Drosophila melanogaster: one gene and its partners. The gene in region 4 interacts genetically with the main gene of each other region. Each region holds a gene or a part of one and is shown on either strand. Other genes may lie near its edges. The genes, in order: mew, Chd64, wech and parvin.

Region 1 (4,907 bases), 6.5 Mb from region 4:
TTCAAGGAAGATGTGATCTAAAATTTTATTCAGCACATGCGCCTAGGAATCCAGGGCTGGCGAACTTGTTAGTACATCCATATGGGATTTGGTTTTTAAATATACGTTTCTTTTGCCAAGTTTAATAACTAACGACTCGTATTTGCATGATTTTTTTTTTTAATAATAATAATTAAATTTATAAAGCAAGCGGTTGATTTTTTAAATTGGTAGAGTGCTCGAGAGCTCTTTAATATAAAAGTTGTATATGTATAAATATTAATAAATTCTCGCCGGGCTTTTACTAACAAAAAATGTAATCATTTAATTTTTTAAGATTTTCCGGTAAGAGAAGTCTTAAATTGCTACCGCATTTATACCAGAAAATTCGTGGTCCACAATAATCGATTTATCGATAATATCCGACTGAACGAAAATTCAAATCTAGTGTGCGAGGAAATTTAGAGACGAAAGTTTACGTATTTAAGCGTCCAGTAGTCATTGAGTTAAGTGTAGCTACCTGATTCGGATAATTAAGTACTTTTACTTTTTTGGGAGCACAACAAAATTTTGTTCTCGTTCTTACTTTTACACAGCAAAATTTTATAATTTTTTAAAATTTTTCTGCCGGGCTGTTCGACGAAGCAAAATCAATTTACCAGTACTACGACGGTGAGTGACGATGCCAATCGCTAACTTTCTGTACACACGTATGTTACCATTCCGAGAAAGTTTCTAGATAACAAACACGGCCATTGCAGCTTACTTGTATAATAAAACACATTTCTAACACGCTTTTTACACGACAAACCGCGGTTCGATGTCAAAAGTTCGATGCAATAAGATCGACCACTGCTTGCTGGGCGCAGTTCGCGGCATTAAGCCGCCCTATCGCTCGGTGCGTAATGCCCAAGACGGCGTGATTAGCACCTTCCTGGACAAGTACAGTAGGCCCAATTATTTTGCCATCCGCTTGGTGATACCCGCCGAGTTGCCACCCATCGATCTGGCCGAAATACTTATGGACATGCTAAAGATGCAAATATTGCGCCGCAAGAATTGTATCGCGTCGTCCAATTGGGTCAGGATGAAATATATATGTCAATACGGCAGCAAAGCCGATGAGACGTTCATCATGCATGACAGTGCCATGAGAAAACTGCAGCAGGCCATTGAAGAGCTCACCAATCTGCTCGATCAACTGAAGCTGGCGTATGAGCCCGTTTCCTATGGACGGATAGCCGTGCAGGCTCAACAGTTGGATAAGCGGGCCCAGATATGGCAGAATTTGCTCAACGGCCGCAATGAGCAGTTGGAGCGCCGTTTAGCTCGGGACATTTCACTCCCATATCCTCCTGCAATAGATGCCCGCATGCGCATTTCGAAAAGTTATCAAGTTATCAACCATATGCGCACTTGGCGTTTCGGCTAAGGTCAGCAAATTAGAATTTGGTCGAATTTGTTTGTATATCAATATGGTCACTAAAGATGCTGCTGTGATATTTTACCTTGCTTTTGGATATATATACATTTCTTTGGATAGCATCTACCTGGACTGAGACGTTCTACTGTCATAGTGATTCTGATGTCGTATGACTTCTATATTAACTTTAAATTAATCGAGTGCAACGCATGTCGAGATTAATAAATAACATATCAACAACAAAACACAAACTTTGACTTACCTCCGCGCTGCCCGAATTGCAAACAAAGAGAATGATGTTATCCAGCCCTCTAGTGTAGTGGAACTGCTTGTGCGTCTGCTTGCTATATGTTTGACCACTGCTTGCACAGCGCACATGTATGTTCGAACCATGTTCGAACCATGTTCGATGGTAGCTCAGTAGCTTAGTGTAGCTCTTCTGTGCGAAGCATTTTATTTTTCGTTTGCCCGTCGAAGAAGGCGAAGCGAAGAGAAAATATCTGCCGCTTCGAACGCACGCTATCAATGTCTAATTCTTTACGTAATAATCATTTTTTTTTTTGCTGTGTGACTGAAACGAAGAAATATACGAGCAAAAGTGAAAAATACGTGGACTACCTGTTGATCCAAAGATCTCAACGGATTTAGTGTGTGTGTGTGTGTGTGCGTGCGTGTTTTTTTTCGGTTCATTGTTTTGTTTGCAATAGTGCAAAGGAAAAAGTAATCACTTTGCCGTGTTCGGTGCACGTGCACGAAATATTTATAAAATATATATTAAAAAAAAAAAACATAAAATTAACGATGTTGGAGCTACCGTTTACCACCATACGGCCCAACTGCCGGCTAAGACAGAATCTTGGTATTCTGATAATCCTGCAATGCGTTCTCACTTGCTACAATTTCAACCTAGAACAGCGATTGCCCATTGTGAAGTACGGACATCCGCATTCGCATTTCGGCTACTCGGTGGCCACCCACACTATTGGCGAGGCCAATGGGCCCAACAAGACCAACTGGTAAGTGGATAGTTAAGTGGATAGATAAGTATCTGAAAGATGCGTCCAAAGTATGCGAACTTCCAAAGTGAATCATTATCTGCAGTTCATTTAAACGCTTAGGCATATTTTTATTTTTCAACAATCAATTTTAAACTTGCATCCAAAAGATTTATTCGAAAAGTGTCTTGTTGTCTCAGCTGTGTTTTTTTTCTTTAGAAAAATGTTAGGTAAACAATAATGCTGAAGAACAGGTAGAGAAGAATCCAAATCCAAATTCGTGTCCGAATCGGAAATTCGCGCCAAGAATCTTGTTGGTGCGCAAACAGGTTTTTATATTCGCCAAATCGATTTCAGCTTAATTGACTGGCATTGATTGTTATTAATCAGCAGCACACGAACAATAACAACAACAACAACAAATAATAAAATAATAATAATAATAAGAAGAATTTGCATTGCAATCGCTGTGTTTGTTGCTGTTGTTCAGGGGGGGGGGGGGGGCTATCAAAGTTTGCTAATGCGCGAAACTTGTTTGAAATCGTGTTTTTATTGTTGAATTACCATAAATTGTTTGAATATCGAGTATTTCCAGAGATGATGCCAGGTTTTAGATGTTTTTCGAATCGAAACAAACCATAATAAACTGAATGCATATGCCAAATGCAATGACAGCAGATAAGTGTTAAATATTATATTTGTTTGTTTCTCTTTTTTTTTTTTCGAATTGCTATTTGAAGAATTTCAACAGTTTAAACGATTTGTCATCCTTACTATCTGAGAATTTGCCTGTTTGATATTTTATGGTTTTGATTGTTTATTTTTGTGCAACTGATAAGCATAGTTGGTCGAAGAACAGACGAATTGTTTTAATGTTTCCCCCGACATGGGTTAAACCCTTGAACTATTGCGACTGAAGCGGATGTGGATTTATTTGCATTTGTCATAGATTCTTTTTGGCGAGGGCTTGGTGCTCATTAAATGTCTCGTATTGGCGACTTTATAAGTTGGCCAACTCCTTTTCGCATTCTCTATATACAATACAAGCAATACATAGATAGATAGATAGATAGATACATTGGCCAAACCAAACTCGGTAGACAAAACGGAGCCAGACGGCCAGTGGCCATAAAAATGGGCAGACAACAAATCTGGAATCAATACAAGCTGCGACTTGGATGCGCCAATTTGCAGCGAAAAAAACTGAGTTGCTAACATTTTAATACATTTAATACAACTGAACTGGCAATCGAGTTATTCCCGCCACATGGTGTGGTTTCTTAACCATGTATTGTGGTAAAAAAAAAGAAATTGTGCCATTCGCGGCATGCCCCATCGCTATCACTCGGTGCGTAATGCCTACGTAGGCGTGAAAAAGTCATGTTCCCCTTCTCTCTCTCTTGCCAAGTAGTGCCCTCTCCTTCGGTCACCCGAATAAGGGAAAGGGATATTATTATTATACTTATCATATATATGTTTATATATATCATTTATCGGCCGACGAGTCTAAGTGTACCAGCCTGAGTCATTTGGGTTAAGTAACGAAATGTCACGTATTGAAAGTCCAACTGAAAATCAATAGACCTTCAAAAAAAAAAAAATAATAAAAATAAATTTGCAAATGAGATGCATGATAAACTTTGAGCTTTAACTTCAATGTAATGGTGATATTATATGGTGGTGACCCCGTTTGGCAAGAAGTGGTGACCCACGCTGTTTCTTAAATCTGCATCGCGTCTTTAAATGACGCACTTGAAATCGGAAGAAGCTGTAATCCAAACGGAAATTGCTGTTTTTTTTCGCATCGAAGGCTAGTCCGATAACTGCAGTGAATTGCACAGTTAACTTGAATTTCCAGCTCGTTTATTGCGCGCCTTTTGTTTTTCAGTTTTGTTTGCACTTTGCGATTGTCGCATATTTGTTTTATTAATGAAAAAAAAGGTACGTATGCAAATAATGTGACTCGCTTATCGCTGGCCCATCTTAATTTTTTTTTTGTACCAGCCATATATACCAGCGGTTACGTGGCGCAATTATTACCTTTGATGATATGGTACAAATTGAGATAAGCCGCTGAGGATGGTCGATTAAGCTATACAATTGTTTTCGTACCCTTGCCGTGGCATTTACAGCGCCATAAAAAATGTGTATATATGTAGGCGACTTTTTTTAATTAGCACCTTCAATCAATCGGCATTAAATAATGATTGGCTTTGTTAATGAACTACAATTTCATTGCGCTGAATACTCAATATATTGCAGATTGAAAATGGTATGAAAATGCTAGCACGATTTTAACTCGCTTGCATGTAAATAAATCTCTGAGATTCGGTGTATCTCGTAGATGTTGTATCTCATGTGGGATACTTCTTCTGCATCGCGAACAGCTCACTGGTTGTGTTTATGCCGACAACATGTGTTCCTTGTTTGCGCCAAAAAATATAGAAGAGAACAAAAACTAAGAAAGAACTTAAAAAACTTTTCGGCGAAATGAGGTCAACAGACGCCAA
Region 2 (4,696 bases), on a different chromosome or scaffold from region 4:
CTTTGCACAGTTGTTCTGTAAGTTAAGTTTAATACGTTGAGCCAACGAATCGTGAGGTATTATTTATTTAAACAAAACGAAACAAACGAAAAAAAAAAAACATAGGAAAGAGGAGGAAATAAGGAAATTCAATTGAAATTATTTGCTGATACTGTTCGCAGCTAGTCGAGCAGATACATAGGTAGCCTGTAAACAATAAAACAATTACACGCGGATATATACACCCACTGTAATCACAGATGTCAGTGCTTGATATACACATGCCTAGGTCTAGTGGAACTGGTAGTTCTACCATGTTGTACTATTTGTAGTAGGAGTCCCAAATCTGATTATGCTTATGTCACCCTTTATTATAGGAATGTTCTCTGTATATTATTGCGTCTCTTTTGCGTCTACGTATATATTTTTTGGTAAATGATTTTTTATATATACATATACACATTTATATTTGTAATTTGTATTTATCCATGTGCAAAAATAAATTATGATGATTATTTTTTAAAGAGTCGTCCCCCTCGAAGCATGCATAACAGATTGTAAAAAATGAATCGATTTATATATAATACGAAAATCACACACTACCCACTTGTATCTGAGCGAAAGGGCCTTAACAATTAGTAGGATGCATGATCGATGTATGCAGATCGGTTATAAAAACAGATATAGCAGGCATATTATTCGCATGCGAAAACCGTTAATAGAATAATATATTATAATGGCAATATGTGTATGCAACTAATAAGCCCTAACTTCTAGTTAATTACTGCTTTCCTATGTTATAAACCAAATGGCGATATAATCAAAACAAAAGACAAGCCCACATAAGTTAAATGTGTATGCTACCAACATAACAAACCTTTGAAGATCAAGCTGAATTATGTATTTCTAATATTAAATATATCACAACCCACACATAAAAAAAAAAAAACAAACACGACAAATAGAACAACAAATTATACAAGCAATTCCCCTATTTATTTAGAACCACACTGAAACACTAAAGAAATTCGCTTCTTATCGTAAATCCACAATTGCATAATTTATACGATTAAACAAAATATATATTTATGTGAATAAACTGTAACTAATTCTCAAGGCAATCATCCAAATGCGATTCGCTACTTCTTGGTTTCCAGAAAGTCCCCCAAAAATGTCATGGTCATCTGAATGGAATGCTGCTGCAAGAACCTCTCGATAAGGGGGAACATAGGAAGTTTTCAATGGAACTTTACTCTGGCGAATCTTATCGGATAGTTTGTACACAACCGCAAAAAGTAGCACTAATAGTGGTTGACTTCTATTAAAAGTAAAGCAACAGGTGGATCATGGAAATCATACTGATTCAGATTCATTATCTTTTCAAAACCTATTGAAAACAAAAGTTACTGGTTTAGAAGGCAAATGAACCAGAAATTTTAAATTTATACTTATATAGTGTAAAATTGTTTCCAGTGCTCGATAGTTCCATGTTTTATTATTTGAAAAACAACTGCCGTTAACAAAGCGGTATGACATCATCAATGCCATCATAACAAATCAGCTGCCGCTGATAAGCGCAGCTTGGAGCTTTTATGTTGTACCCAACCTACTAGGTACAAGACTGAGTGTGCTTTACAACACTAAACTGTTGGCGAGCTTTCCTCTGTTTCGCAGCTCGGACCGCCTTTCATAACGTAGTAAGTTTTCGTTGCGAACGGACGTAGCCCAACCAACTTGGCCTTAACCCTTGCGCTCCCTCCGATTTATTCCGCGGCAAACACATTCCAGTGGACAGTGGTGCAGTTCAGCCCAAGACCAACCTACATTTTAGCTCCCTGCAAACCCGTTTCTTCATCAAATAACTATGGCGTCCAACCGTGCAGCGAAGTCTGGTTTTGCCGCCGAGGCCCAGCGCAAAGTAAGTACCAAATAGCAACAACAACCGCACCCCCCACCCAAAAACCGAAGAGCGCCAAACAAAACAACACAATAAACAAATTGCCCAAAAAAAAATCAACTTTTGCACGGGTGTGTGCGTGAGTTTAGAGCTGCATTGACTTTATTTGGCGCTGCGTTGTCAAGATTTTATCTTCGCGCGCCAAATGCCAAAAATTAGCCAAAAATGGTCTTGAAATTGCCAGCGTCTAACAAGGAATGACCTCATTTCGCTGATAAGTCGAACAAGTATTTATGTACATACATATGTATATAGGAATATATACATGCATGTACACACATGTGTAATGCATGCGTAATTCGAAAGCTTGAAGATGATTTAGGTGATTTTGAGGCATTGTCAGTGCGGGTGATTCAAATCGAAGATCGAGAAAACAGTTGGTTATCCATAAATCAAACAATTAGTAGTAGTTAGTAAAGCTCTGGAAATTTCGATATGAATAATATCCCAAGTTCGAACAGTATACATTATAAAGATGAGCTAATATAATCCTAATTAATTGTGCTGCAATAAAAGCAAGTCTGAATACATAGGTGCTACTTGTGGAGTATCCACTGTAGAAGGAAGACCCTTTGGATGATCTCAACCCAACTATTGCAGCATGGTAGCTTCCGCAATGTAAATTGACATTAGTTCCGTCCATTAGCAGCACTTTGCCTCAAATGCACTCATACAAATGCATCGGGCTTTTGTGGGTGGGATGGGGTTGGGGATGGGTTACCCGTACCCTTCGGCCATTTGGCCCTCGTCAAGTCGGGGTTACGCAATTCCAACCGCCCCTGGGCAGCCCCAAGTGAAATTGTATATGTCGCCGGCACAGGGGATTAAGTGCAGTCCGACGAAATCCACAACAAGACAACTACAGTTACAGCATTGCCCAAACAAAAAACGAAACAAATAATCGAGATTTTTCATATCCGAAGTTTTGTATACCCTTGAGGAGCACTTTACCAAGTTGTTGACAAACTGAAATATTTTGTTTTGCTTTAGCTTTGCTTATCTAAAAGTATTTCCACCCGGATTTCATTCTCTTGAGTCAGCCATTTGGCAAAAGGCCTTGTTTATCGGTATTATCTGTACTAGCGCATTTTTAAAACACAGTATGTTTTAAAACACAGTATGAAGTATGTTTTAACGTGGTTTATGGTGATATATCAGGCACTATGGTTATGAAAAATATTATGAGAACTCTGTAGTGTTTATTTATGCCATATCATGTTAAGCTAAAACATTTTGGTACTTGGAATAGGAAGAACCTTGGCATAGGGTATAGAAAAATAAGAGAAATAGAGGCGAGTGCCTGGAGGCGCAGCTGCTGGCGCGACTCCAAGCCGCGATCGAATGGCTCCCCAGGAGCCGAAGGCGATGATGTCATTCCTTCAGCTGTCCCTCCACTGGTGCTCCTCGATCCCTTCGCGATCCATTCAACTCGAAGGCGTTGTTAGTTTGAGCACTTTTGCCGCTCGCTGGGAGTCACTCATATCTTCTGAGGGGGATTCGGGTTCGGGTTTTGAGTTTTTGGGGGTGACAGGAGGTAGAGGCGATAGCAGCACCTTTTCCACCACATGAGCACTTAAAACTGAGTATGTGGCGTAAGCAAACAGCAAAACAAAAGTGAGGCAAAAAGGTATGAAAGCAATATTTTTGTTTGTCTCATGGGTTCTCTACACTCCGTGCTTGCGTGTGTGCTTTTTCCGACTTTTACGACCAGTCACCGACAAATTGGCATGGATCTCAAGTTTCGGCCAGGGAATTCGTAGCCCCTTTATTTTCAACCCTTTCCTGGGATCGTAGCACCAGCTGTCGGGAAAGTTCTAGGAATGAGGCAGAAAGGTCTCAAGTTACTCAAAGTATGTTTACTAATTTGTAACTACATAAACGATTGAATATATTAGTTTAGCAATCTTAGATTCAGCATGATACTATTTCCTTTCTGGAAATTCACCCCTAAGAAGCCGCACTGTAGTTGTTTTCTTTTCCAACTCCCTCCACGCTCGCAGCTGTATCTCACCGCATTGGCGGCACATGGGCCACGTACTAATCACTTGGCCTTTTTCGGAGTCAAGAATCCACACTCAATTAGCAGTGCATATGTGAAAGACACTGTGTACACACTTGTACATCCGCAGCACGCACCTCCCTGTATCTGTATCTATATATCAGTATAGGTACGGGTATCTCTATCAGTGCGGGCGACACGTAAGTGGAACACTTGGCCCACATGAACTCCGTGCTCCTAGATGGGTATAGCTAGGTATTCATTCCCGAACCTCTCCCCCAAAAATTTAACACTTGTTGGCCGCTAGTTTTAGATAAGCCATAAACAGTCGCGGGAGGTGGTCGACAGCGGCTTTATCGTAAATCAAATGCTGTTTTGGATTTCCGGTGAAACTACTGCCAGTGCCGAAAACACCTCGACAAATGAAAATGGAATGAAATTCTGCCCCCTGTCCAAATCCCTCCGAAAAAGGCACTCGATGGGGGCCCATACAACAACTCAGTCAACTGAAGTCGAAGTTGGTCGCTCGTAAACCAGACTCAAAAATCATATATGTATGTACGCAATTGACCTCGTTACATTTTTGCGGATTTTGTTTATGTTATCGTTGTGGAATTTTTGTCATTTTCCCATTTATTTATCCACCCAAAAGATATCGGTCAGCAATTGTCATGGATCATGACGCATTCGAATCGCAAAAGAAAGCGAAATCGGCGGTGGCATAGTGAATAATCACCAGATCTGGCCATTTCGTGGATTGA
Region 3 (4,818 bases), on a different chromosome or scaffold from region 4:
CAGCTATGACTCGGAGCTACACCAGCCCAGCTTCTCGGACATCAGTTCGTTCTTCGAGGATCGCGACTGCCAGCCGCCGGAGAATAAGAGATTTAAGTCGGAGCCCAGTCAGAGGGAGGAGGACGAGGAGGATGACGATGACTTCGACGAAGATGCCGCCTCGGAGAACTTGGAAGAGGAACGCGGCAATCGTGCCGATGCTGCCAGTTCCGGTGTATTCACCATAGAAGTGCTCGATGACGACGACGAAATGGAGCAGGCGGTGACCAAGACCAAGGCGAATAACACTAGCCACGGCGGATCCAGCCTGAAGAGCGAGCAGGAGGCCAAGGTGTTCTCCAATTCGCAGTCACCCACCGCCGATCTGCCATTCAAGTATATCAGCACGGATGTGGCCACGAATACGGATCCCTCTGGTGGAGATCTCCAGGACGAGGCGGATCGCATGTTCCTGCTCAGTCTGATGCCCTTCCTGCAAAGATTGGACAGCCGCCGGCGTCTGCGCGTGCGCCAGAAATTACAGAACGTGCTCATCGAGGAACTGGAGTTTGGCTGAGGACGCGTATATCCGGGGGAATGTGGGGAGATTTACTTTATAAGCCTAGCTTACAGTATTATAAGAACGCGACTGACTAACTCTGTGAATCTGCCTACATACGTAGCATGTAATCAGTATTCCGGCCTGCTTTCCTTCATACCAACACACTTCAATACATACCATATTGCATTACAATACATATTTACACTTCAAATAGACGATCACGCCAGCATGATTACTTGTTTCTTCCTCAGGATAACCGCTCACTTTTACCTGTATCTGCGCTCCGGTGCACCTGCGCCTTTTACCTGCGCACCCCGCCCGCAGTTCGAGTTCCCAATTATCCACGGTCACTGTTGCAATTGCATTTTTCCAGCCACGGGCGGCTCAAAATTTCTGTCAGTGCAAAACAAGTTCTTTAAGGGTGGTGCACGCGGCAACAACAACAACCACAAGGTGATTCCCTCCGCATTTTCGCGCCACATGCGCCGTTAATGCTAATGTACCGCGCTCTCGCTCGCTCTCTCCGCTCACCAATCACAATGCGCTCCGGATGGGCGAAACTTGGTCGAGCCTAGGCAACTTGATAATTCCCTTTTGGTGTGTTGTGTTTTTTGCCTGAAAACATCTCCCCATGTTTTAAAAATGATTCAAAGCTTTCGTTGAATAATGGCGGGCTTAACAGTTCTGCGATTTGCTTAATAGGGTCCAATTGGATGGAGTTTAACTTTCAAAAACTTTCGCTAAACAGAAAGCTCATCTTCTAATGAGTAGAGTCTGAAATTTAGACGCAGAATCCATAAAAATTCTTAGTGGTTCATGCATTGTTGTTAAAATGTTGAATGCTGTTTTGTCTTTTCGGAACTCATTTGGAATTCCAAAATTTAAGGTGAAACACTATTTAATTTTAATTTAAAATTCCTTTTAATTTCAGCAGTATGATTCCCCTCTGATTTGTAATCACAAAAATGTTCATGGCCATTCATTGACCATCATTTATACTTATTATAATCATTTATACTATTTATAAAAATTGAAATATAACAGTTAGCAGAATCAGTGTGACCAGCCATTGTGAGGATCAAAAACTAAACCTCCAATTCGGCTATGCCCGCGATACCCTGAACGAACAGGGGCGCGAATGACAAAAACAACAAAAACCAGCAGCAGCAGAAGGGCAGCGTCGTAACGAGAGAGCCGGGCAGAGAAGAAGAGGAAGAGGCAACGGCAGCGGCGAGCGCATGAACGTGAGTTTTGCAGTTTGATGGTTAAATGCGTGCGTGAAGGTTGGAGTGAAGATTTTGAGCCGAATTCGAATCCTAGTCCCCGCCGCAATAAGTGGGTCAGAATTGGAGCCGTTCGATTGGGCCAAACAAAAAGCTGGGCGCCACCGCAGACTGCAGCTAAAACACGCCGCCAAAGTAATTGGAAGAAGAAGCAGGCGCACAATAGGAATAATTGTTCATGGATTTTTTCGATTTCTCGTTCGCTTGCAGAAGGAAAAGTGCACGAGGGTGGAACCAAGGGTAAATAAGATTCGCCCGAAAACGCTTGGAAAATGTAAACAATCTGTAAGCACAGCGACGATAAGCGATTTTCAAAGAGTTTGCCAGCTTTTTACATCGATCAAACACTCGCATAATAAACGAATAAGAACTGACGATTAAATCGAATTGAAGTGGAGTGACGACTATGGGATACCCTAGGACCGCGTAGAGTGAATGAATTTGACAAGTGAGTTAAAAAAGCCATGGGGCACGAATTAAGTTAGCATAATATATGTGCGTAAATCAATTCAGTGCTATTAACTAAGTTTGTTGGGGGAAATGTTAGCTGTGTAATCCGCATAAAAGGAAATCTTGTTTAGGACCCATACGCCCCTGATACCCTGGACCGAAGCGGACGCCATTATCCTATTAGCCGTTATGCCCCATCAAGCGATTCGATTGTTTGAGGTTAGTAACAGTACATCTGACCAAACTTCTGCATCGACCCTCTGTATTAAACGCAGTTCTTTGCGGCATAAGTGAAAATAAATAGAAGATAAAATGTGCATGTGAGCCTCCCGTGCATGAGTGTGCCTGTGTCCGTGCGCCCTGCGAAGGAGAAACAGAGAGCGGAAGAAATAGGAAAAGAAGAGAGCGGGCGAAACGAAAGAGAGAGCGACGGTTTTGGAGCGCGCGCGCACATCAAAATTAAAAAACAAACTGTGAGATACATTTGGGTTTATTTTTTATATTTTGTTTAGGCTACATAGGCGATGATGATGATGTTGATGAGCGGCAAAAGCAACAGAGAGAGAGATAGAGAGAGAGAGAGAGAGCGAGCGACTCGAGTGTTATGTTGTGTTTTCAGTTTCGGTTTCGGATGTATCTTCTTCAGTCGGAATAAGGAATACACGATTGTCGGAGCGAACGGATTACGCATAAGAACTCTCTGGAAAACGAATTTCGCCTCGCGAAAATCCGCTGAAAAGGCAAAGCCAAGCCAATTCAAAACGGAATCCGCACCGCATCAAATTAAAAATCGAATCAATTAGCGAAAATCGGTACTGAACGCGCGACCCAACAACAACAAAAGCCAAGCGTCTTGCATGCGGCTGCTAAAAAAGGTGTGTACGCGAAGGAGATGCACGTAGAGAGCGAAAGAGGAGGCACGAGCGTGCCACTATCAACAGAATTTGATAAATAGACTTTAGTCCAATTGCTGCCAAATGCAAATATTGATTTTCACTACTCCCAAGATTTCCCAAAAGATTCCTCTCGACGCTTTTCCGTTTTTGGAAAATATACATACACAAATATACGGACGATTTGCGGCGCAGAAACCACCTACATACGGACATGTAGAGAAACTTGTGTGAATACAACCCTCGTCCTCATCCCCCTATGTTTTTGCGTCGTATCCTCGCTGCACGAACACAAATGTAGCGCTGTAACCGTGTGTGTATGTGTGTGTCTGTGTGTTTGTGAAAGGACTTTAACTTCTTGGTCGTGTTTTTTCCACGTCCTGCGACTCGGAGACAGACCCGTTTCAATGGAAAACGTTCAAGGGTGACAAGGGTAGTTTCGCTGATGCCTCCTCCTTCTCCTCCCCCTCTTCTTTCTGCATGGAGTCCTTTTCCTGCTCTTGTTCTTCTTATCCTTGTTTTTGTTGCCGCTGTCTACACGGTTCGAAAATATCCTAGAAGTGCATTCCTTTCCTAGGGCGTTGCATTGTTTAGCCGAAAAAAAGGGTACCAAAGCTGAGTTTGTTTATTGATTTCATCAGGACTGTTCGCAATCCAATCGCAACCATTACGCACAACCGCTTTTCTTAAACTACAGATGGTATGGAAATTCACGTTGTTGTGATTTCCCTTTAAACACTTTAAGGAGTGTATTTTCTTTTTATAGAATGCTAATTCATAGATGTTAAAACATCCCTAACATCTTGTCGTTTTTTAAAATCTCCTTGTCAAAACGGTAATAACATTCAAAGTTACCTTAACTCAAGGAACGTAAAATCTTGTCCTTAAAATGGGTTTATTTAATAATATCAACATATTTGCGCATTAAGTATATACATTTTCCTGGCTTAAATTTCCAATTTGGTTTGCTTTAAAATTTTACTTAGAACTGATTAAACCGAACAAGTTCGTTAAGTTCTTGTTTATCGAAATGCAAATCCATTTAAAGGGGTGTGATCCTTTACACCAACTTTTTATTAATATATATTCTGGGCCATAGTGCATCTTAATATAAGAACTGAACTGCCAGGCAAATTGTTTTCACCACAGATCGACAAAAATCATCAATCGCTTGACTTTAATATTTTTCCTTGACGAGAGCAACGGGAGGCCTAAACTCAACCCGCAGACATTCAATAACCCTTTTCCACCTTAACCCCATTCGTAAACTGGATTTGCTACCCCTCAAGTCATACTATAAATTAACTCAAATCACCCAAAATCAGAATGAAGGAAGAAATACACGTTCCTGTCGTCAAGTTTTCCGCAGAGTGTGGAAGAAACAGCTCCGTAATCCTGACCCGGTGGAGGGATGAAAGTCGGTCGTTTTATTGGGTCTACGCTCCTCGTCTTAGAGATGGAAACCAGTTCCGTCTGTTGTTTTATGACGTAGTCGCTTTGTGTTTGCCACCCCATTCTCCCCGCCGGAAAAGTCGCTTGCGCAGTGCTGGCGAAGCGAGGTGGTGGGTGGAAAGACAGGAAAATATTGTAACTACGTGATAAGGTTGAGCGCTGAGGTGGGGCCCCGTGAGGGTGGTTTCTAATCCCAGTC
Region 4 (4,926 bases):
ACTTGTACTTTTTTCTTTCTTCTTTTCCTGCTGCCCGAGGAATTCGCCAGCGGAAGTGTGTAAGTGCGCTAGTGTATGTGTGTGTGTGTGCGAGTGTTGCGATTTGGAGTGGCGAAGTGGCGCCGCGCGGCCAAGTTAATTCTTGCTTTGGATGGCATCGATCGGTGCCTTGGCTTACGGTCTGGTGTACTTGATAAGGTGCCAAAACGAAAAACATACCTTTGTTGTTACGAGAGTACGACGAAAAATTTTCAACTGGCGAGAATCTCACGAGCCTGGCGATAGCTATAGCGATGGGCTGGCTCAAAACTATCGAGAGCTGTCACGGTGACAGCTAGAGCCAGGCTGCCAGATCGCTCAGCTATTGCCTAGTGTTCGCTAGAGTTGGCCAGTGTTGGCCAGCGTGCGATTCGGAATGGAGTCGCGAGTCCGAAACTGCGACACGCGCAGGTAAATGGAAAACACAAGTCGCCTCCTCCGCCGCTGATGATGGGAAGCAATTATCCCGAGCACGGGACCAAGCCGAGATCCGCCAAATACCACAAACAACAGAACCACCGAGTGGTGCGCAAGCAGCCGCCGCGTCCCGCTGTTAGCGACCGCCACAACATCTACATCACCAGCAAGACAGACTTTAAGGCAAGTAGAACTGAACTCATGCTGGATGGTGAATCGCCCATGTGCTAAGTGACAGAGTCCATCTCCTTGACAGGCCCAGCAGCGCCGCTGCGAGGAGCTGATTAACTCCGGCGCCCACGAGATCTTTCTGCATTGCATGGGCTTCTCCGTAACCCGCGGCCTCAATATCGCCCTACGCCTCGTCCAGAATTCTGACGGCGCCCTTAGCTACGCCATCAACACCTCCACCGTTCAGCTGGTGGACGAACTGCACCCGCTGTGCGATGCCGAGGACATAACCTTCCGCCAGCGCAACAACTCGGCCCTGCACATCAAGATCCTCAATAACAGTCTCTTCGACATCGCCGTGCCGCAACCGTCGCAGTCCCAGACGCAAGCCCAGTCCCTGGGCCAGTTCCGAGGCAAGGCGAAGGCCAGGCAGTAGCATGTTCAAACTCTCGGAGCTGGTGCGCTGGCTGGGGCTCACCGAGTTCGAGATTCTGGTCAATCTGTGCGGCCTGCTGGTGTTCACCATCACGCTGACCGTCAAGCTCCATCTGCAGGCCAGGGCCGGACCCGGTGGCATACTCCCGGAGCCCATGGGCGACTGGTTCACCGTCTTCAGCCCCCTGTTCTTCATCGACATCTGCAACGCGTACTTTTGCGTCATTGTGGGCATCCGCATGTACCTGGACTCTAACAACAAGCGCAAAGCCCTGCATCGCTTCATGTGGAGCACGTATTTCCTGGTGCTCATCGCCATCTTCAAGTACCTGCTCTGCCTGAAGCTATCCAGCAAGACGGGCCTCGAGTATTCGGAGGTCTTCTCGCCGATCTTCGTTCTGTTGCAGCTCGTGGCTGTGCGCGCCTGCCAGTTGCCCAACTCCATCTAAACCATAGACGTAGTATAGCCCTAGTTCCGTATTATACATATATGTAACTATTCTGAAAGCCTTTAAATCATTGGATTGGTAGTTATCTGTATACGCAATGTGGTACAATAATTTTTAAGCGGTACGAAATTTATCTTTCTGGATATAGCATATCTAATATATACGAATTATATCTGATCTGATTCGGTATGAAGGACATACATACATACATATGTTGTTGTGCTTTTTAATCAATGATCTAATGATCTACGCATTATAATTTTTTTAAAATTTCCAACAATTTAATTTGATGTACAAATTCAAAAACTATTAAGCTGATATGAATTTCTTCTAGCTGTTGTTGTCAAAAGCCACATTTTTTTTAAATTATAAATGAAAAATAACATTTAAGCTCATTGTTTTAATTTAATCTAAGGTCTTTTTAAACAATTTTTATAATTGGCAATTTAGTTTTTATTCGATTTTTTTGGAAGTTTCTCTTGAGTCCGAACGCCAGTGTTGGACAACATGTGTGGTGGGCCTGCGATCAGGTGGCAGCCCCAAGGGAAACTGATTGCTCAGCTCCGCCCGAAACGAATCGAAACAATAACACAAACTGTTCACTTAGTCCGGAATTCTTGGAATCCAGCAGCACCATGTCCACACTGAACCGCCCTAAATCCCCGCACACGCCCACCGCCATTAAAAAGGGCGAGAAGGAGGACAGCTTCTGGGACAAGTTCAGCACTTTGGGCCGCAAACGCGGCACCCGCGAAGGTAAGTCCACTTGATGATTGGAGCTCTCCAGATGGCTATTGTCGGCCAGGAATTGATGGGTATCCCAGAGTATTCCATTCTTGGACCCCTGAACCTCCGAAAAGTGGCCCAAAATGACCCAATGGATCCTCCCCCTGCGCACTGGAAGCTCTTCTGGGAACAGATGTGCGGATGCGCTGATTAATCAGAACATTGCGTCACTGTTGACCCACACAAGCAAACGGCGCTGATAATCGAGAGTGTGTGCGTTTGTGTGAGATGGCCTTGTGTCGTCACCGTTTTTGTTTACCTTGTTGATACCCTAAATACGCATCCGCTTGCTCCATTTGCAGTGAAGAAGGTCCAAGAGGAGGGCAAGTACGCCATCGACTCGCCTGGATCGCCCAGCCAGTATGACATCCCGCCGGAGGACTATGCCCTGCGTAAGTGCATTCGTTTTGAAGGGGCATCTCCTCGTATACCCATCGCATTTCCCACAACTCATCACATTTGATCCTACAGGCGAGCACGAACAGCGCGCCGTCATCGATCCACAGTCCATCAGTGATCCCCAGGTGATAAAGCTGCAGCGCATCCTCGTCGACTGGATCAACGACGAGCTGGCCGAGCAGCGCATAATTGTTCAGCACCTGGAAGAGGACATGTATGACGGCCAGGTGCTGCACAAGCTGTGGGAGAAGCTCACCGGCAAGAAGCTGGACGTTCCTGAGGTCACCCAGTCAGAGCAGGGCCAGCACGAGAAGCTCAACATCGTCCTGAAGGCCGTCAACCATGTAAGTAGTAGTAGTTTATGTTTTGCAGGATTTAAAAATCGGAGTTACCAACATTTAATTATTTATCCATTCTTAAAGTCGAATAGAATAATTTTTATTCGATTTACAATTAACATTCCCTTTTCTCGCGATATAAGAATAAATTTTATCCTTGCCCACACCCACAGACACTCGGCTTTCACCAAAAGATTCCCAAGTGGTCGGTGGCCAGCGTGCACTCGAAGAACATTGTGGCCATATTACATCTGCTGGTGGCACTGGTGCGTCACTTCCGGGCGCCCGTTCGCCTGCCAGAGAACGTGTTCGTGACCGTCGTGATTGCGGAGAAGAATGCGGGCGTGCTGAACGCGCAGAAGTTCCAGGAGCAGATAACGTCCGAGTACGACGACCTGGGCATGCGCTGCGAAAAGGACGCCTTCGACACGCTGATCGACTGTGCGCCGGACAAGCTGGCCGTGGTGAAGAAGTCCTTGATCACGTTCGTGAACAAGCACCTGGCCAAGCTGAACTTTGAGATCAGCGATCTGAACACGGACTTTCGCGACGGCGTATACCTGTGCCTGCTGATGGGCCTGCTCGGTGGATTCTTTGTGCCGCTGCACGAGTTCCATTTGACGCCGCAGGACGTGGATCAGATGGTCAGCAACGTGGCCTTCGCCTTCGACCTGATGCAGGACGTGGGCCTGCCCAAACCAAAGGCGCGGCCGGAGGACATCGTGAACATGGACCTCAAGTCCACCCTGCGCGTCCTATACAGCCTGTTCACCATGTTCAGGGACTTCGCCTGAGTGAAACCCGGATGGAACGAGCCAGCGGGTTGCAGGAGCAACAAGCGGCGCCAATTTTACATTTTATATTAACTTTTTGATAGTGTTTACACGCCTAATTTATGTGCGTTCTCGAAACTGATTGTAGGCGATGCAGCGGTTAAAGCTTACTGATCCTAACTCTCAAAACCACAACTAAATGCTGCGTCGCGTATAATCAGCCCAAGGAATGTTTATATATATATATATATATTTATGTGTCGTACGTCTAACCACTGCGATCTGCTCCAGATTCAGATTGCTCGGAACAGGAAGGAGCAGAGCAGAGCAGAGCTAACCCAAACCCAAAATCCGGCGGCCAGTTGTTAACTTGTCTTACTCACGTGCCAGACGTTGTAGTTGTTACTAAGTGAATTTATTGTATTAATACATTATTTGAACACAATAACCGAGATTGTGCCTTTAGATCACACAGAGCTTTTGCAAATTATGTCACAGATCAGATTTTAACGCTGTAAATGTAGAAGTTTACGGAAAAGTCTTAAAAAAAAATTTTATTGTGTACGTTAAAAATTTGGATCAGAAAAATCAATAAATATTGCCAATAGCATATGTGTTATTCTATTTTAAACAGTTCCAAGGCGCAAAATTTATCTGGGGCTGCAGCACTCACAAACGCCAGCTTCCATCCTATTCACATGTAAGTTCTTTCGAGCGTCTCGAATTGATTGAGAAACAAACCTTAGTAATTTTCTGAACGCTGTGCTATTTGAATTGTCGCGGTTGCGCGCGCAACTCGCAACGGTCTGGTATCGATCACAGCTGCGAGCAGGCTGCCAGATCGCTTCCCGTTCGGGAACGATTTCGCATCGATTTTCGATTGCTGGCCGGTATAATTTGAAAATGTTACTTTGCTGACCGGATTTTGGTCCTTGGCCAGATGTTGGCCATGAATCTAAAAGCCAGTATTTAGTAACTTGCGTTGATTGCAGCCGCTTAACTAAGCCGCTTAGCCAGATATGTCCTAATGTTATGTGTTTCGTTTCGAAACAAGGTGGCAACCATGCGCATGCTTTTTATGATTTTCACAATAGCCGAGCGAAGTTTCAAGATTCTAGA

Evidence for each region.
Region 1: of parvin (region 4) and mew, changing one enhances a phenotype caused by changing the other (phenotypic enhancement), as found in Drosophila melanogaster (one study listed by BioGRID).
Region 2: of parvin (region 4) and Chd64, changing one enhances a phenotype caused by changing the other (phenotypic enhancement), as found in Drosophila melanogaster (one study listed by BioGRID).
Region 3: of parvin (region 4) and wech, changing one suppresses a phenotype caused by changing the other (phenotypic suppression), as found in Drosophila melanogaster (one study listed by BioGRID).

What each region holds. Positions count from the first base shown.
Region 1 is NC_004354.4:13,254,128-13,259,034, reverse strand, and holds the start of mew (multiple edematous wings), read left to right. Parts: upstream 1-1,851; 5' UTR 1,852-2,203; coding exon 2,204-2,418; intron 2,419-4,907. Other genes in the region: CG15742 (uncharacterized protein), read left to right, coding at 800-1,411. UniProt on the Drosophila melanogaster protein: Integrin alpha-PS1/beta-PS is a receptor for laminin.
Region 2 is NT_037436.4:4,119,357-4,124,052, reverse strand, and holds the start of Chd64 (Chd64), read left to right. Parts: upstream 1-1,664; 5' UTR 1,665-1,843; coding exon 1,844-1,897; intron 1,898-4,696.
Region 3 is NT_033778.4:7,486,787-7,491,604, reverse strand, and holds the start of wech (wech), read left to right. Parts: upstream 1-1,781; 5' UTR 1,782-2,272; intron 2,273-2,912; exon of another isoform or gene 2,913-3,149; intron 3,150-4,818. Other genes in the region: Coop (corepressor of pangolin), read left to right, coding at 1-556. UniProt on the Drosophila melanogaster protein: Vital for larval development. Plays a role in tumor formation. A crucial component for the physical link between integrins and the cytoskeleton in the epidermal muscle attachment sites.
Region 4 is NC_004354.4:19,744,043-19,748,968, forward strand, and holds parvin (parvin), read left to right. Parts: upstream 1-1,998; 5' UTR 1,999-2,146; coding exon 2,147-2,267; exon of another isoform or gene 2,268-2,445; intron 2,446-2,599; coding exon 2,600-2,689; intron 2,690-2,768; coding exon 2,769-3,040; intron 3,041-3,207; coding exon 3,208-3,828; 3' UTR 3,829-4,416; downstream 4,417-4,926. Other genes in the region: Rpp20 (ribonuclease P protein subunit p20), read left to right, coding at 487-639, 713-1,063; CG33932 (uncharacterized protein), read left to right, coding at 1,065-1,511; Alr (augmenter of liver regeneration), read left to right, coding at 4,871-4,926.